Linked DNA regions of Saccharomyces cerevisiae S288C. Changing the gene in region 1 together with any one later gene gives a genetic interaction. Each region holds a gene or a part of one and is shown in the gene's direction. Other genes may lie near its edges. The genes, in order: FIS1, FAR10, ATP20 and SSK2.

What was found.
Region 2: mutations in FIS1 (region 1) and FAR10 together harm fitness more than expected from each alone (negative genetic interaction), as found in Saccharomyces cerevisiae (2 studies listed by BioGRID).
Region 3: mutations in FIS1 (region 1) and ATP20 together harm fitness more than expected from each alone (negative genetic interaction), as found in Saccharomyces cerevisiae (4 studies listed by BioGRID).
Region 4: mutations in FIS1 (region 1) and SSK2 together harm fitness more than expected from each alone (negative genetic interaction), as found in Saccharomyces cerevisiae (3 studies listed by BioGRID).

What each region holds. Positions count from the first base shown.
Region 1 is NC_001141.2:240,605-243,450, reverse strand, and holds FIS1 (Fis1p), read left to right. Parts: upstream 1-1,675; coding exon 1,676-2,143; downstream 2,144-2,846. Other genes in the region: YRB2 (Yrb2p), read left to right, coding at 1-690; EFM4 (Efm4p), read right to left, coding at 735-1,424; ribonucleotide-diphosphate reductase subunit RNR3, read left to right, coding at 2,743-2,846. UniProt on the Saccharomyces cerevisiae protein: Has a role in mitochondrial fission. Has a role in outer membrane fission but not matrix separation. Required for targeting MDV1 to the mitochondria.
Region 2 is NC_001144.5:612,946-616,799, forward strand, and holds FAR10 (Far10p), read left to right. Parts: upstream 1-1,809; coding exon 1,810-3,246; downstream 3,247-3,854. Other genes in the region: thiamine transporter THI7, read left to right, coding at 1-1,218; lipoyl(octanoyl) transferase LIP2, read right to left, coding at 3,387-3,854.
Region 3 is NC_001148.4:598,297-601,033, forward strand, and holds ATP20 (F1F0 ATP synthase subunit g), read left to right. Parts: upstream 1-1,573; coding exon 1,574-1,921; downstream 1,922-2,737. Other genes in the region: MCM DNA helicase complex subunit MCM4, read left to right, coding at 1-1,255; AGC1 (citrin), read right to left, coding at 2,353-2,737. UniProt on the Saccharomyces cerevisiae protein: Mitochondrial membrane ATP synthase (F(1)F(0) ATP synthase or Complex V) produces ATP from ADP in the presence of a proton gradient across the membrane which is generated by electron transport complexes of the respiratory chain.
Region 4 is NC_001146.8:679,861-687,417, reverse strand, and holds SSK2 (mitogen-activated protein kinase kinase kinase SSK2), read left to right. Parts: upstream 1-1,984; coding exon 1,985-6,724; downstream 6,725-7,557. Other genes in the region: ubiquitin-like protein HUB1, read left to right, coding at 1-175; putative serine/threonine-protein kinase PPG1, read right to left, coding at 302-1,408; ALG12 (dolichyl-P-Man:Man(7)GlcNAc(2)-PP-dolichol alpha-1,6-mannosyltransferase), read right to left, coding at 6,964-7,557. UniProt on the Saccharomyces cerevisiae protein: Kinase involved in a signal transduction pathway that is activated by changes in the osmolarity of the extracellular environment. Activates the PBS2 MAP kinase kinase by phosphorylation.

The sequences.
Region 1 (2,846 bases):
GTGTTTGGTGCCGCATCTAAATTTGGAACTGGGTTTGGTGTTGCCAAAAAGGACACGAAAGATGGAGATGCAACTACCAGTACTGAAAGTTTACCAGCCTCTGACAGCAAAACAAAGAAGCCATTTGCATTTGGTTCAGGTTTATCATTTGGCAGCGGCTTCAACATACTGAAAAACAAAACAGAAAATAACTCTGAAAGTGAAAAGAAAGCTACTGATGTTGACAAAGATAAAGTCCATAGTGGATCTGAACAACTAGCGAATGCCTCAGAAGATACAAAAGACAAACCAAAACCCCTCAAATTGCAGAAACAGGAAGTCAAGTCTGGTGAAGAGTCTGAGGAGTGCATATATCAAGTCAATGCGAAGCTGTACCAACTTTCCAACATAAAAGAAGGCTGGAAGGAAAGAGGTGTTGGTATCATCAAAATCAATAAAAGTAAGGACGACGTCGAGAAGACGCGTATTGTTATGAGGTCTCGTGGTATCTTAAAAGTCATTTTAAACATCCAACTGGTCAAGGGGTTCACTGTGCAAAAAGGATTTACAGGTTCTTTGCAAAGCGAAAAATTCATAAGATTACTAGCAGTAGATGATAACGGTGATCCTGCACAGTACGCCATAAAGACTGGTAAGAAGGAAACCACGGATGAATTGTATAACATTATAGTTAAATCCGTTCCTAAATAAGTAAAGAGAAATAACGTTAAAAATAAATCAAAGATAAAAACAAATCAGTTTTGTTTAACAAATGCTACACTACATATGGTCGCACCCTGGACCCCGCCAAATTGGAAAACAGGGTATTTTATTGTTTTCCACATTTTCAAATTATCAGTCTCTATGATCTTTACTAGTTCATCTTGTGTGAAATTACAAGAAGTGATCAAGAAAATACCGTCTTTTTTCAAAATCCTTTCCACTACTCCGGCGTATACATCGACTACATCAAGTTTACCGTTGATCTTCATGCCACTCAATGAAATGGCATCTAGGGTCCCTTTATCCAACACAATGTCATACTTTCCCGGCTTCCAGTCACCACTAAAGATGTCTGCTTGCTGGAAACTGATGAAATTGTCAACACCGGTGGCCTCGGCTATATTACTAGCGAGTTTGACGCTTTCCTCAGAATAGTCTATCCCGACCAGTTTCCCTTGGAATTCCGTTTGATGCAGTTCAAATAACATGTGTCCATTACCTGTACCGAGGTCTACAACAGAAGCATTCTCAGAAATTCTGTACGCACCAATGTTATCTACCAGAAAATCAATCATCTTTTGTTCAGCATCGCTATCGCTAAACCAACAGTCCCCGGTATCCTGCGGATTCCGCCTGAAATTCTCCAGCTCCAGGGCATACAGTTCATCCCAGTATTTTTTCGTACCAAGTTTCGAAGTGCTCAAATCTGCCGTGCCCTGCATCTGTACTACCTTTTCGGGTTGAGTTCGTTCCATAATACCGTTCTTAAGAGCTGAGCTCATCGATTTTTTTTCACTTCTTTTCATGAACCAATCTTTTTGCGCATTTATGCCGGAACACCGCAAGCGGGCTAGGCTGGACCCCTTTCAAAGCAAAGCTGCCATTGCCACTATTCTGCACAGAAGTTATCATATACCTTGCGTAAAAACGGCACATAGAAGCACAGATCAGAGCACAGCCATACAACATAAGTATGACCAAAGTAGATTTTTGGCCAACTCTTAAGGACGCATACGAACCACTCTATCCGCAGCAGCTGGAGATTCTGCGCCAGCAAGTCGTCTCCGAGGGGGGGCCCACCGCTACCATACAGTCAAGGTTTAACTACGCATGGGGGCTGATCAAATCCACTGACGTGAATGACGAAAGGCTTGGTGTGAAAATCCTCACAGACATTTACAAAGAGGCCGAGTCCCGTAGACGAGAATGCCTATATTATCTGACCATAGGTTGCTACAAACTCGGTGAATACTCTATGGCGAAGAGATATGTAGACACTTTATTTGAGCATGAGCGTAATAACAAGCAGGTGGGCGCTTTGAAGAGTATGGTAGAGGATAAGATCCAGAAGGAAACACTCAAGGGTGTTGTCGTCGCTGGAGGCGTACTAGCCGGCGCTGTGGCCGTGGCTAGTTTCTTCTTAAGAAACAAGAGAAGGTAACAAGCACATAAAAAATCAGCACATACGTACATACATAAGAATGAATCGCACGCACGCGTAAACATTTATCATTTAATCTTCAGTTGTTAGATAAAAAAAAAAAGAAAAGAAAAGAAAGTGAAGGCTTGTTTCAGTTTGAACTAGGTAGCAGAGCAAGCCCTCGTTCTTGGCTGCTAATTTTCCTAAAGTAGTAAAAAAAGCCAAGTTATCTGCCTACGGTTGTCACAGCAACATTGCGTGCCGTTGTTCTTTTGTTTTTTTTTTTTTTTTTTTTTCGTGGTTGTCGCAGCAACGACACCTAGGCGCTGCTCAAAGGGGCAAAAACCCGGTTGCCATGGCGAGGACCAAACGACAAGATGGGAAAAAAACAATAGTCTATTGTTAAATCGTAATACTGTATTGTGAGATGCTGACGCGTTTCGTTTTTCGTGTCAGCGTTCTTTATATTGTTTCGTGTTCTGCTGCAAAACGTATATAAACGCACTGCTATTTTGCCTTCTTTTGCCTTCTTCCTTGCCTTTCTCTCATCTCATATCCAAGTTGAAATAAATATGACAAGCAAGAATAGCAGCAGCAATAAATCAAATACTCCCACACAAATGTACGTTATTAAAAGAGACGGCCGCAAAGAGCCCGTTCAATTCGATAAAATTACCTCCCGTATCACCCGTTTGTCATACGGTTTAGACCCAAACCGTATTGA
Region 2 (3,854 bases), on another chromosome or scaffold:
CACATGAACTACATTTTAATTTGGTCGTGTGTTGCTACATTTTTCTCTATGTTGGGTATGGTGATCTATTTAGCTAAACAGGCTCACGGTGTTGGAGAATTGTTTACCTCCACTAAATCCACTGCCACTGGCTCCACCAAAGCTTGGGCTTGGGTTTATATGATCTCGTACTGGTTCGGTTCCGTTTCTCCAGGTTCCACCAACCAAAGTGATTACTCGAGATTTGGTTCCTCCAATTGGGCTATCTGGGCCGGTACCATCTGTGCATTGTTAATTCCAACCACTTTAATCCCAGTTTTTGGTGTTATTGGTGCCTCCACCTGTGACAAACTATACGGTGAACAATATTGGATGCCTATGGATATCTTCAACCATTGGTTGACAACTAACTATTCTGCAGGTGCTCGTGCCGGTGCGTTCTTCTGTGGTCTTTCATTTGTCCTATCTCAAATGTCCTACACCATCTCCAACTGTGGGTTTGCCAGTGGTATGGATTTGGCCGGTTTATTACCCAAGTATGTCGACATCAAGAGGGGTGCCCTTTTTGCCGCATGTGTCTCCTGGGCTTGTTTGCCATGGAACTTCTACAACTCTTCTTCTACTTTCTTGACTGTCATGAGTTCTTTCGGTGTTGTCATGACTCCTATCATTTCTGTCATGATTTGCGATAACTTCTTGATCAGAAAAAGACAATACTCCATCACTAATGCCTTTATTCTCAAGGGTGAATACTATTTCACTAAGGGTGTTAACTGGAGAGCTATTGTTGCCTGGGTTTGTGGTATGACCCCCGGTCTACCTGGTATTGCTTGGGAAGTCAATAATGACTATTTCCACAACACTGGTATTGTCAATTTCTTTTACGGTGACTCCTTCTTCTCGTTTTTGATCTCCTTTTTCGTCTATTGGGGACTATGCCTCCTCTTCCCATTCAAAATTACTGTCAAACATGATGACAAAGATTATTATGGTGCCTTTACTGACGAAGAAGCAAGAAAGAAGGGCATGGTTCCATACAGTGAAATTTCTGAAGAAGAAATCCGCGCTTACACATTAGGCGAAGGTTACACTACCGGCCACGAGTACAGACCTGAAGGCTCCGACGATGAAATACCTGAGTTGGTCAAAACTAGCTCTGAAAACACCAATGAGTTTGAAATAGTTCATCATAAGAATAATGAAAAGCAATCCTCCACCGCCAGTGAAAAAGCTGCTTAGTGGGAAATAAAATTGCAAAAAATAATTAAGAATAAAATTTCCCTTTCATTTAATGGCTCTCTGCACTAATTTTTTTACCTACGAAATTTTCCTTCGTTCACACTTAATATTAAATAACAGCTCTTTCCTAATAATAACATATACACTAGATATATAATACCAAATAAATTAAAAAAAAAGAAAAACAAAAAATAACGTAGCTTTGTTACAGTCGTAAAAAAAAGAACAATAAACCAATCTTATTGCCAGCGTCTAACTAGTCCTATTATATTCCAATATATTAAGGGGTAAGGACTACTATTATTCGCCCTGAATTGAAATCTTTTAGAAAGCACCTGTTCTCTCTCTGGTGTTCTTTTTTTCTCATCTATTATCTAATTTCTTCAACCTTCGTTATTTGTTGTTATTCCGTAATCGTGGTGCTCAACTTTTGAAATTTCACTTGTTTACCATAACGGAACATAATTAAAAATTTGTTCTTGAAAGTCACAAGCACTACGTGAACACAAAATTAAGGCAAGAGTGACAAAGTAACCCTCACAAGGAGCCTGTCGTTGGTTATATTGGAAGCTATAGATATAATCGAATCCAATGACTGGTCCTGGACCTGAAATAAATAAGGAGGAGCACCCCAGTTCTCCGGGCAAGAAACAGATAACATATAATAGTATACCCAAGAATGCAAATCTAATTGATGGATCTACGAATTCATCGAAGAGGCCAATTGAAAAGTATGACAAGAGAATAGCCGACCCAACAAAAAGCTATTTTCCACATAGCATATCAAGAACACCAAGGAGAAAATATACTTACATTCTAGTCCTCACATCACTAAATGGAACTTTTGAGAGCAAACATGTGGTGATACCATTTAAACCAGATGGTTTGAAATTGGGAAGGCCTGTTGCTAATAGTAATAGCAGCTCCAGTTCATCGCTCAGGGGCGGTAAAAGAGTGGATTCACACACTTTTTCCCAAGTAAGGTCCGATAATGGTAATTTCGATTCAAGAGTACTCTCCAGGAATCATGCATTGTTAAGTTGCGACCCGCTCACGGGTAAGGTATATATACGAGACTTAAAATCCAGTAATGGTACGTTCATTAACGGTCAAAGAATTGGCTCAAATGACGTAGAAATCAAAGTTGGCGATGTGATAGACTTGGGAACAGATATAGATACGAAAATTGAGCATCGAAAAATAAGTGCCACAGTTGAAGAACTATTTGTACAACCTTTATTAGAATCACCGATTTTTGAAAATGAAGATAGTGATGATTGCCATACAATTACAGAAAAAGAGGAGGCTGCTGCCATAACAAGTCACATATATGGTGATTCCAACAACCTAGAATTGGAAGAAGTTATCCTGGGCTCTGATACAGAAATACTGAGTGGAATTTTTATTAATAATTGTATTGGTACGAGCCCGACTTTATCTAATATCATCAAAACCCTGGCAATGGAAATTCCATTTTCCAAATGCGATAATTTTAAATTACAGTCGATGGAGAATTTCTTAATTAATTATACGACACATCTAGAATACACGAACAAACTTTTAGTGGAAAAAAATGATCAGCAACTGGTAAAGCTGCAAAATGGATTAAGAAGGAAACTGTCGGGGAAATACGAAAAGATTATCGAACAAAACAGAAATCAAGTAAAACAGTTGGAAAGGGACCATATGTTTTTCAAAAAGTCATTTGAAGTGAAGAAAAGAAGAAATAATGAAAAGCAAAAAAGCATGGAAAGGGAAATAGAAGACTTGAAAACTAGGTTAGAAGTGGAACGATATAAGAATTCACAAATGATGAAGAAGAACAAACAGAAAGAACAAGAACTCTCAACTGCATCTAAAAAAAAGACTACCGAACATGACACTAGAGGCGTCCCGGGCATGAATCCTAAGGGTACTGACAAATTTAGCATCAAGAACACGCTATGTAATCATTTCACACTATTAACATTTGGAACTATTTCCATCGGGATTATAGCTATTGTCTTCAAGATCCTTTCCCCCAACTAGCATCGTAAATACAAGACACACACGATCCGCTTTTCACGTCAGAGATTATTATATACGTACGTATATATGTAATAGATATTCACATGTAAAAAAAGGTAAGCATCCTTTCATTTAAGAAAGTATGGGGGGAGTCATCCGTCTCACGGATTCTTTTTCAAAATATTGACGTCGTCAATTTGCATTCTTTCCAAAGTTTTTATTCCTAGCAGCTTTGTCATTTCTTTGACAAAACTAATTGCTACACTTTGCACATTTACAACAGCATCGGGTCGTTGTTCCATAATTGAAGTAGTCAGTGTATTTTTCAAACCGCACATTTCAAAACTATTCATATACGATAGATCTGTATTAACATTAATTGCTACCCCGTGCGATGTTATGGAACGTCTGACGTGTATTCCAACACTAGCAACTTTCTTCTTGCCATTTTCAACCCAAACTCCAGTGTCCTTTGTAGTCATAGCATCTAAGTTCAAAGGCTTGTCAGTGTCGTCGCACATCTTGGTATTCTTCAACGTTCTGATAGTGGCCTGCTCAATGCATGAAACCAAGCATTTAGCAGGGAAACTTTGAAATGTTTTCAAATCTAAAATAATGTAAATAACAAT
Region 3 (2,737 bases), on another chromosome or scaffold:
AGATTTATACAGTTTATTAGCCCGCTCTATTGCCCCAAGTATTTACGAGCTAGAAGATGTCAAGAAGGGTATATTACTTCAGCTATTTGGCGGCACGAATAAAACCTTTACCAAGGGTGGCCGTTATAGAGGTGACATAAATATTTTACTTTGTGGGGATCCTTCTACTTCCAAATCGCAAATTTTGCAATACGTTCACAAAATTACTCCTCGTGGTGTGTATACTTCGGGTAAAGGTTCATCTGCCGTTGGTTTAACTGCTTATATTACAAGGGATGTCGACACAAAACAACTTGTTTTGGAAAGTGGTGCATTAGTATTGTCTGATGGAGGTGTTTGTTGTATTGACGAGTTTGATAAAATGAGTGATTCTACAAGGTCCGTCTTGCACGAAGTCATGGAACAGCAGACTATTTCAATCGCAAAAGCGGGAATTATCACAACACTTAATGCCAGAAGTTCTATTTTGGCCAGTGCTAACCCAATTGGTTCACGCTACAACCCCAATTTGCCTGTGACTGAAAATATTGATCTACCGCCCCCACTACTTTCGAGATTCGATCTGGTCTATCTTGTCCTTGATAAGGTTGATGAGAAAAATGACAGAGAACTAGCCAAACACTTAACAAATCTTTACCTGGAAGATAAGCCCGAACATATTTCTCAAGACGACGTGCTACCAGTTGAATTTTTAACGATGTATATTAGTTATGCAAAGGAGCACATACACCCAATAATCACCGAGGCCGCTAAGACTGAGCTTGTTCGTGCTTATGTAGGAATGAGAAAGATGGGTGACGATTCGAGATCCGATGAGAAGAGAATCACAGCTACCACAAGACAACTTGAAAGTATGATTCGTTTGGCTGAGGCGCACGCCAAAATGAAATTGAAAAACGTCGTAGAGCTGGAGGATGTTCAAGAAGCCGTTAGATTAATTAGATCAGCCATAAAAGATTATGCAACAGACCCTAAAACCGGTAAAATCGACATGAATTTAGTTCAAACAGGTAAATCAGTTATTCAGAGAAAACTACAGGAGGATTTGTCAAGGGAAATTATGAATGTTTTGAAGGATCAGGCATCAGACTCAATGTCATTCAATGAGCTTATAAAACAAATCAATGAACACTCTCAAGATAGAGTTGAGTCTTCTGATATCCAGGAAGCCTTGTCAAGATTGCAACAAGAGGACAAGGTCATTGTCCTTGGCGAGGGTGTAAGGAGATCAGTTCGCCTGAATAACCGTGTCTGATGCTGTCTACTACAATCATTCCCTGCGTAACAATTAATAAATACTAATTAATTATAGCAAGTTTGTATTTTTTACATCCTTATGCTTTGTAACACTATTCAATACTGTATGTAGGCTCGATTGAGTGGGCGGCTTTTTTCTTATTCCTGATTGGCTGAAAGAAAATATTGTTAAACGCACTAAATTTATCCCGAAGGATGATTACATTTAAAGACCGAAAAATGAAGATGCAAAGATCCCTCATATTTTCTACTCCAGTCCAAATCGACAAGATAAACCTGCCGATAAATCATATTTCAGAACGCTAATCAATTCATCATGCTAAGCAGGATCCAAAATTATACCAGTGGGTTGGTTTCTAAAGCAAATCTTTTGTCATCAAAGGCTTTATACTATGGTAAAGTCGGTGCCGAGATTTCAAAACAGATTTATTTAAAAGAGGGTCTTCAACCACCAACTGTTGCCCAGTTCAAATCAGTGTATTCGAACCTTTATAAGCAGAGCCTAAACTTTGCTCTAAAGCCTACAGAAGTTTTATCGTGTTTAAAAAACATCCAAAAGAATGAACTATTAAAATATGGCGCATATGGTATTCAGTTGATAGGGTTTTATTCTGTCGGTGAAATAATTGGAAGAAGAAAATTAGTGGGATATAAACATCACTAAGCTTTTTAATTCTATCTATTCGCAAAACCCTTGTATATTCGTTAATTAAATTAAATCAATGTACAAATAGAACAAAACTAGAAAAAAGAATATATATTCATCTCAATTCTATTTATTTTCTTTTCATGACATACAATGGCATTAAAAGCGATATCGAGTTATATTACATTAGCTTCTTGCCGCCAGTTATTTATGAAATAGGCCAATATAACTTTTCTGTAAAAAAGAAAACTTGACCTCAGAGCTTTCATTACACTTATTAAGAACAACATACTTGTTGCACTATAGTAAAAACTACAGTGAAATTGATCTCAGGATCATTAGTAATTTTTCTCACTATAAGAAAAAAAAAAAAACATATATTTTGCTATGAATTATAATAAGTAAATATATACATATATATGTACAGAGAAACTGACGAAGAAAATAAATCACCCGTTAATGCTTCTTAGGTGCTCTTGAAAGTTTTTATAAACTGAAGAGTCAAACCTAGAAAAGTTATTGTCCAAATCAATGAATGTTTTCGCAATTTGACAGCTTTTATAGTAATAATTGGCATGTTTTCTATCATCAGAGTAAAACTTTTGCTGTGGGAGTTCACCGTTACTATGAACTACTGTCTCTTCATTGCCTGCGTCGTCATCGATACAAAATCTCTTCCTACCCTCTCTGCTTTTTAATTTGTTATCGGGGGAGGGAATAAAGCCCTTGAATAATTCATAGGCGGCCAGAGTGAACCCAAATTGGGGAGAACTTCTTAGGACACGGGCTCCACCACCTTTGAAAAAGCTTCTAAAGCTCTCTTCCTTTAAGATA
Region 4 (7,557 bases), on another chromosome or scaffold:
GAAGTGCCTTGCTGAAGATAGTGTAGGTGATTTCAAAAAAGTATTGTCCTTGCAAATTGGCACCCAACCAAACAAAATTGTGTTGCAGAAGGGTGGAAGTGTTTTAAAAGACCATATCTCTCTGGAAGATTATGAGGTACATGATCAGACAAATTTGGAGCTGTATTACCTGTAGAAAATGCGCTGTTTTTTTTTTTTTGATCTAAATACACAATACATACATTTGCAACCGAGAGAGATAGAATATGTAGAAATAATAAGATGGCGTTGTCTCTATAATGCTTTTCTATTGTTTAGTAAGCTACAAGAAGTAATCAACATGTCTGTTAGAAGCAGATCTGGCTTGGTATACATCTGAAAATATGTACATTTCAGGGTCCGTGGAGCCATCTGCGGAGGCAGAGTCGTCTTCGAAATAATCTGCAATCAATTTCCTGTTGGCTACCGGATTAGATATGCTATCTTCTAAGGCATTGTCGTTCATACTGTTCTCTTTCAACAGTTTATTTTCAGGTGCCTCTTCGAAAACGTTGAAGTAGAATTGATCTTTACTATACAGCTCCAGAATAGATGCTTTATTGCCGCACCGATAACAATAGTTTGGCGCCGACCATACAGTAGTAACCAATCCATCAAAATATATCTGGTAACCTTCGTTACATAACTGATGGGCTCTGTATATTCTGTTCATATCGTTCATACGTAAGAATTTCTCCACCACGCTTCTTCCGAAAGTATAACCTGCTCCACGAGGTGACACCTGGAAATGTTGTCCAGAGTTATCTGGATGATCTAACGTGGGGTTATTGTTTTCTTCCGGATCAGACCAAACCAAGTCTGCCATGGCGCCATCGTGTGGAATTTCTCGAAATCTATCAATAATCTTGATCTGATCTATGGTTTGAACATTGGGCGAGAGCCCACCATGAACACAAAAAATTTCGTCGTCGATAATACAGCATAACACTAGATAGTCAAATATATCTGTCAAATATTGCCAAACTCTTGAATTGCCACCGTACTTGTTCAAGCACTCCGTGTAGAAACCATAGCTCTGCGTGATTTGACGTGACTCGTGGTTTCCCCTCAAAAGATGAATTCTACTAGGATATCGAAGCTTAAGCACAATCAATAGCATAATTGTTTCCACACTGTACAACCCCCTGTCTACATAGTCGCCCAAGAACAGATAATTCGTATCAGGAACAGGGCCGCCTATTTGGAAGATCTCCAGCATATCGTGAAACTGTCCATGCATATCCCCCACGACTGTGACAGGGGTCTGAATGTGAATCACGTTTGACTCCTTCACTAGCATTTCCTTCAGCTTAAAGCAGAGTGCCCTTACAGTCACTTCAGGTAGTAACTGGGCCTTGTATAGCCTTTCTAAACATTCGTCCAATTCCATCTCTACTGGGCCAATTCTCTAACCAAAAATAAAAGTACACAGTGGGGATACAACTGCAATGAGTGGAACTTAATAAACAGTCACGAACTGTTCCAAATTACCTACAACTCGCTGAAAATACCGCGTTTCATACCCTGAAACAGTGGGTATTTTAGCAGTTTTGCATTATTAATTACTGCTCCATCACCCGGGAAACTCGCGCCACTTTTCGGGCGTTTCTTTGTATGGAAAGAATTGATTAATCTGAAAAGAGTGATAAAGGTGGGTAAACAGAGATAGAAAGAAGCCAAATCTGCAGATTAGAAGAGGTTAGAAGATTGTAATTGTTGCTGCCCCAGTGTGTTATTGCCTTAGAGAGTAGTACTGTTAAAGAACAGCTAAGAACGGGTGTTTTCAAAACGAATTACTGGTTTACAAAGAATTCAAAGGAAAAAAAAAGGTTCCAGCATATTTGTTAACTTTTGTGTGAGCTCCGTCTGTCCTTCAAGTTACTATTGGGCAGTTTCAAGTACAAACAGTCTGCCATTACTAAAAAGAAGAGAAGCCTTTGCGTAAACTATTTGACAGGCACAAATAATGTCGCATTCAGACTACTTCAATTATAAGCCTTACGGCGATTCCACGGAAAAGCCCAGCAGCTCCAAGATGAGGCAGTCATCTTCATCATCTTCATCTAGACTAAGGTCGGAAAGTTTAGGGCGAAATTCCAATACTACGCAGGCTCGAGTAGCGTCATCGCCCATCAGCCCAGGGCTGCATTCTACCCAGTACTTTAGATCACCAAACGCTGTTTACAGCCCTGGAGAGTCTCCATTAAATACAGTACAGCTATTCAATCGTCTTCCGGGTATACCTCAAGGTCAGTTTTTTCATCAAAATGCCATTTCTGGGTCCTCCAGCTCCTCGGCAAGATCTAGTAGACGGCCCTCGAATATTGGTCTTCCTCTACCAAAAAATCCTCAGCAGTCTCTACCGAAGTTGTCTACTCAACCTGTTCCTGTACATAAGAAAGTTGAGGCTAGTAAAACAGAGAGCGAGATTATTAAGAAGCCCGCTCCCGTGAATAGTAATCAAGATCCATTATTGACGACCCCAACGTTAGTGATATCACCAGAACTGGCTTCACTAAATACAACGAATACATCGATTATGTCAACGCCACAAAATATTACAAACCAAACTTCGAACAAACACATTCCCACCAGATCGCAACCAAATGGGTCAACAAGTTCCTCCACTTTGCAGGATATTGTCACGACAAATAGCTCGCAACGGTCTGTAGGCCACCATGGTGGAAGCACAACGAGCCTCCGAACATACAAAAAACAATATGTATTAAATGAACAGTTATATTTAAGAAAAATGAGAAACCGTGCTAATGATGATTATTACACTAGAGGTATAGTCGCATCATCCAACTTTGAAGATGACGAAGAAAATTTTAGTAACAAAGGTGAAGATGACTTAGAACTAGAAATGGATGATCTTTTAAAGGTAGAAGGTGAGGATAAAGATAACGACTTCAATTTTGGTTATAATTTTATTACGTCGAGCACAAAAAATAATGAAAATGTTGTTTCGATGAGCCTAAATTATCTAAAGGGCAAATTGGATTGGTTGAGGGATGTGAACAATGATCAACCGTGTGAAATAGAAGATGAGGAGTGGCATTCCATACTGGGGAGCGAGGATTTGCTGTCAAAATTGTTACAAAATCCTATGGTGAACAACCGATTTGAATGGCAAACAATGTTATCTAAGGTACTGAAGGGAGATATTGTGAGGAATGAAAAAACGAAGATTGCAAATCAAGGGAAAGGCCCTGGCTTCAATACTCAGTTTTCAGATGACATTTGGATTGAGTTGAAGGCATGGATGAATGGGAGGACCGTGGAAGATCAGAACAAATCTCTGAGGATTTTTAGGGATTCTACTGACTCCGTATTTCAAGAAATCATGGCCTTTAAACTAGAAGATAATATGAGCGCTGACGAGGCTGCAGAGACTATCAAATCACTAGTAGACAAATATTATAGAGTCTTAAATCTATGGCCTAACATTAAAAGAATGCATGCTGAAAAACCCATTACTAAAACAGAAGCATTCAGGAATCGAATAGATACTTTGAATAGTTGGCTTAATTTCAAATTTAACTTTGATACTAATATTGCGTACCTGAAAAAATGGATAGTTGGCAATAAAGAGCTAGAAAGCACTACCGAAGTGGATAACACCACCGTGAATTTGGATGATCCAGCCGTTTTCGCCACTAATTGTAAACGCTTTGCGGAGCAAATTATGAAGGAAAAGGATATTGAACTGATATTTCAAAAAAAAATATTCTTTCCATTAGCACCATGGATTTTGAAGGCCAAATTTTTCTTCTTGAAATACCAAAAAACTTGGAATGAATTGAATCTATCTTATTTGGATCAAGATCTGGAATTTTTATTGATGTTTCCAATGCGTTTGGTAAAAGATATAATACTAATTCGCCTATCTTACGCGAAGAAAATACAGAATCCAACCTTGATGATGATCGATCAAATGATGGACGATTTTAGTACATATATTAAGTTGGCAGTCCAAATGAAATTCACTGTTGCTTCTTACTGTAATGACTGGTTTTTTAAAGTGAAAATCGATCCCGAATTTGATCATACCGTTGTTGAAGGATTGGAATATTTTTTCTCCATTTTGGAACTGAGAATATTATATAGTGGCAAAAACTCATTCAAGACTTCTAAAGAACCTGATCTGTTATTAAAATATTGGGAAATGTTTAGAAACGTCGGCTATTATATTGATGATGCAGGCGAACTGATCGCAGCAGAATTTACGAAGTTGACACTTAGATTGGTTCACAGATTGCACGCTTACCTTTTAAGGCAGCAAAACACTCCGCCAAAATTAGAGAATGAAGCTGCTGCTGAAAAATGGCTGGTGCAAATATTCGAAATACTTGGATCCATGAAAAGAAAACTCAATAGATTCACCAATATTTTGACAAAAGCATTTCAAAATTTTGTCCGCTACAAGATAGAAGATCACAACTATCTGCTAAAGCAACTAAAAGAAACAGGCCACTTTCTTATATACACAGGAGGTTACCTAGAGCAAAATGGTACTTATTTAATTGGTAGCCCAGAGCTATTAGGCTGTAAAGATGATGATATTTTAAGAATCATTAAGAATTCAGACATCGGTTGTGATTTAGTGCCTAAGCTAGAAATTAATAACAGTCTGACAATTTATAATGCTTTGGATGATAATTGGAACTCCAACTCATCACTGGGTTCAGATATCTCGAATGATGGTACCCCATTTTATTATATCAAAAACGATTTGACCACCCAGCCTAGATCTTATAACGGTAATAGAGTCAATCGTGAACCGGATTTTGAAAACAGCAGGAGCACGGAGGAAGAGTTTTATGAACTGGAGACAAGATTGAACTCTCTTGGTTATGTATTGGTATTGACTCCGCAAGAGCCATTACTTTGGGAGGGTGAGATGTATAATCTATCCGATAACAAAACAATTAAACCAGAGGGATTGAACTTGAAAGTAATTCCTAATTCAATAGATTTGATGTGCCAAGGATCCAGTTATGCCTTAGAATACCAATGTGACAGGTTCCAACAGATATCTGGTAGCTCAGTTTCTTTCTTGGAAAAAAAATCTTCCTCAGAAACGGTTAAAAACAACTTACAAAGGATAAATAAAGCATATTTCAGATGCACGTACAGTGTTCTGAAGAACTATACAAAGATTGTGACCACGTTCAAGAAGGTAAGTCCTGTCAATGATTTATTGAATAATATTTTCCTTTTTGGGAGGGATTTTGGTCTGAACTTTTTGAGAATTAATGTTGCCAACAATGAAAAAAGATCCATTATAATACTTTTAATGATGCGGTTAAGTATCGGATGGCTGAAGTTCTTAGCTGAAGACTGTGATCCGACTGATCAAAGGGTATTTAGGTGGTGTGTCACGTCAATGGAGTTCGCGATGCATATGGTAAGCGGTTGGAACATACTAGCTCTTGATGAATGCCAATTTTCTTCTTTAAAACAAAAAATTTCAGAATGCATGTCATTACTTATTTCTCATTTTGATATAATAGGCGCACGCTCCATAGAAGTTGAGAAAATCAATCAACAAGCTAGATCAAATCTTGATTTGGAAGATGTGTTTGACGATGATATGATGCTACAAGTGAATTCCGAGTTCCGAGTACAAAGTATAATGGAATTGGAAGAAAGGATAAAGCGGAATCCTCATCAAACTGGTAAAGTAATTGATGATAGTGACAAAGGTAACAAGTACCTTGTTTCTTTGGCATCTTCCATATCGAACGTTTCTATGAGATGGCAAAAGAGGAACTTTATTGGTGGCGGTACTTTTGGAAGGGTATATTCTGCTGTTGATTTGGATAATGGTGAGATTTTAGCAGTCAAGGAAATCAATATTCAAGATAGCAAATCAATGCAAAAAATATTCCCCTTAATCAAGGAGGAAATGAGTGTCTTAGAGATATTGAACCATCCAAATATAGTTTCATATTACGGTGTTGAAGTTCATCGTGATAAAGTTAACATCTTTATGGAATATTGTGAAGGCGGTTCCCTAGCAGCTCTTTTGGAGCATGGTCGTATTGAAGATGAAATGGTCACTCAAGTCTACACTTTACAATTGCTAGAAGGACTTGCATATTTGCATGAATCCGGCATTGTTCACCGTGATGTTAAACCCGAAAACATCCTACTAGATTTTAATGGTGTTATTAAGTATGTTGATTTTGGTGCTGCTAAAAAAATTGCTAATAATGGAACTAGATTGGCAAGTATGAACAAAATCGAAAACGCAGATGGTGAACACGAAGATGTTACCCATGTTTCTGATTCAAAGGCAGTGAAAAATAACGAAAATGCTCTATTAGACATGATGGGAACTCCTATGTACATGGCTCCAGAATCCATCACTGGATCTACCACCAAAGGCAAACTTGGGGCAGACGATGTTTGGTCGTTAGGCTGCGTGGTATTAGAAATGATCACTGGTAGACGGCCATGGGCTAACTTAGATAATGAATGGGCTATCATGTACCATGTTGCTGCAGGACATACCCCACAATTCCCTACTAAGGATGAAGTGTCGTCTGCTGGTATGAAATTTCTGGAAAGATGTCTTATTCAAAACCCCTCCAAGAGAGCCAGTGCGGTTGAGCTGTTGATGGATCCTTGGATTGTACAAATTAGAGAAATAGCCTTTGGCGACGATTCTTCCTCTACAGATACTGAGGAAAGAGAGTAGTTAAGTTGAGAAGGTTTGTTGTATTATATGTAAAATCAAAATATAATGTAGTGGGGGGAGAGTATATAATGTTAATTCAAGGATAGAAGATTAATGATAGCATTTTTTTATAATTGTTTTGATTTTGAGAACAGAAATTTATAAAGGTAAGATATAAAAGTGAAAATTTGAAGTCTAGTCGAGGTGGATTAATGTAAAACGCTCGCTATATATTTTATTGGAATTGACGTTAGCTATTATCAATCAGTTTTTTCATCTTGTTTGATTCTCTTATAGGTGAAGAAGACATCGCTTTTAACAATCGAATTGGCCGTCAATTCTTTCAAAAAAACGGTAGGGGTCTTGTCGAAAATGATCTGTTTGAGTAGAGACAAAACATTCACTCTCTCTTGGAAAACAAAGTTCTTAATGTAGGTTGGGTCAAATCCAGTAAACATCTTTGTTGTGTTAACTAGCTCCCAATGGTTGGTAGTCTTATTCTCGAATGGCAATTGAGAGGCGGTTGGCTCGTGGGTGATCAAGAAATCAAAGGAGGGCCACATTTCCTGCAGTAAAGTCGTATTTTCAGTCTTATCGTAATTGATGCCGTACACACCGTAGTTCAATTCACCAAATAAAGTGACACCTGTCATGCAAGGAGGTATGCTGATATGAACTGTAGCGTTTGTAATATTTTTTTCCACAATCATGTCATTAAAAGAAGTTAAAGCCTCGCCGCCTGGATAATTCATTCTTGATATATACAAGAACGCCATTGAAATGAAAAAGGAGGTCATTATAGATAAGGGCAATATAGCCAAACATAAAACATTGGTAATCTTTTTTACTTTCAT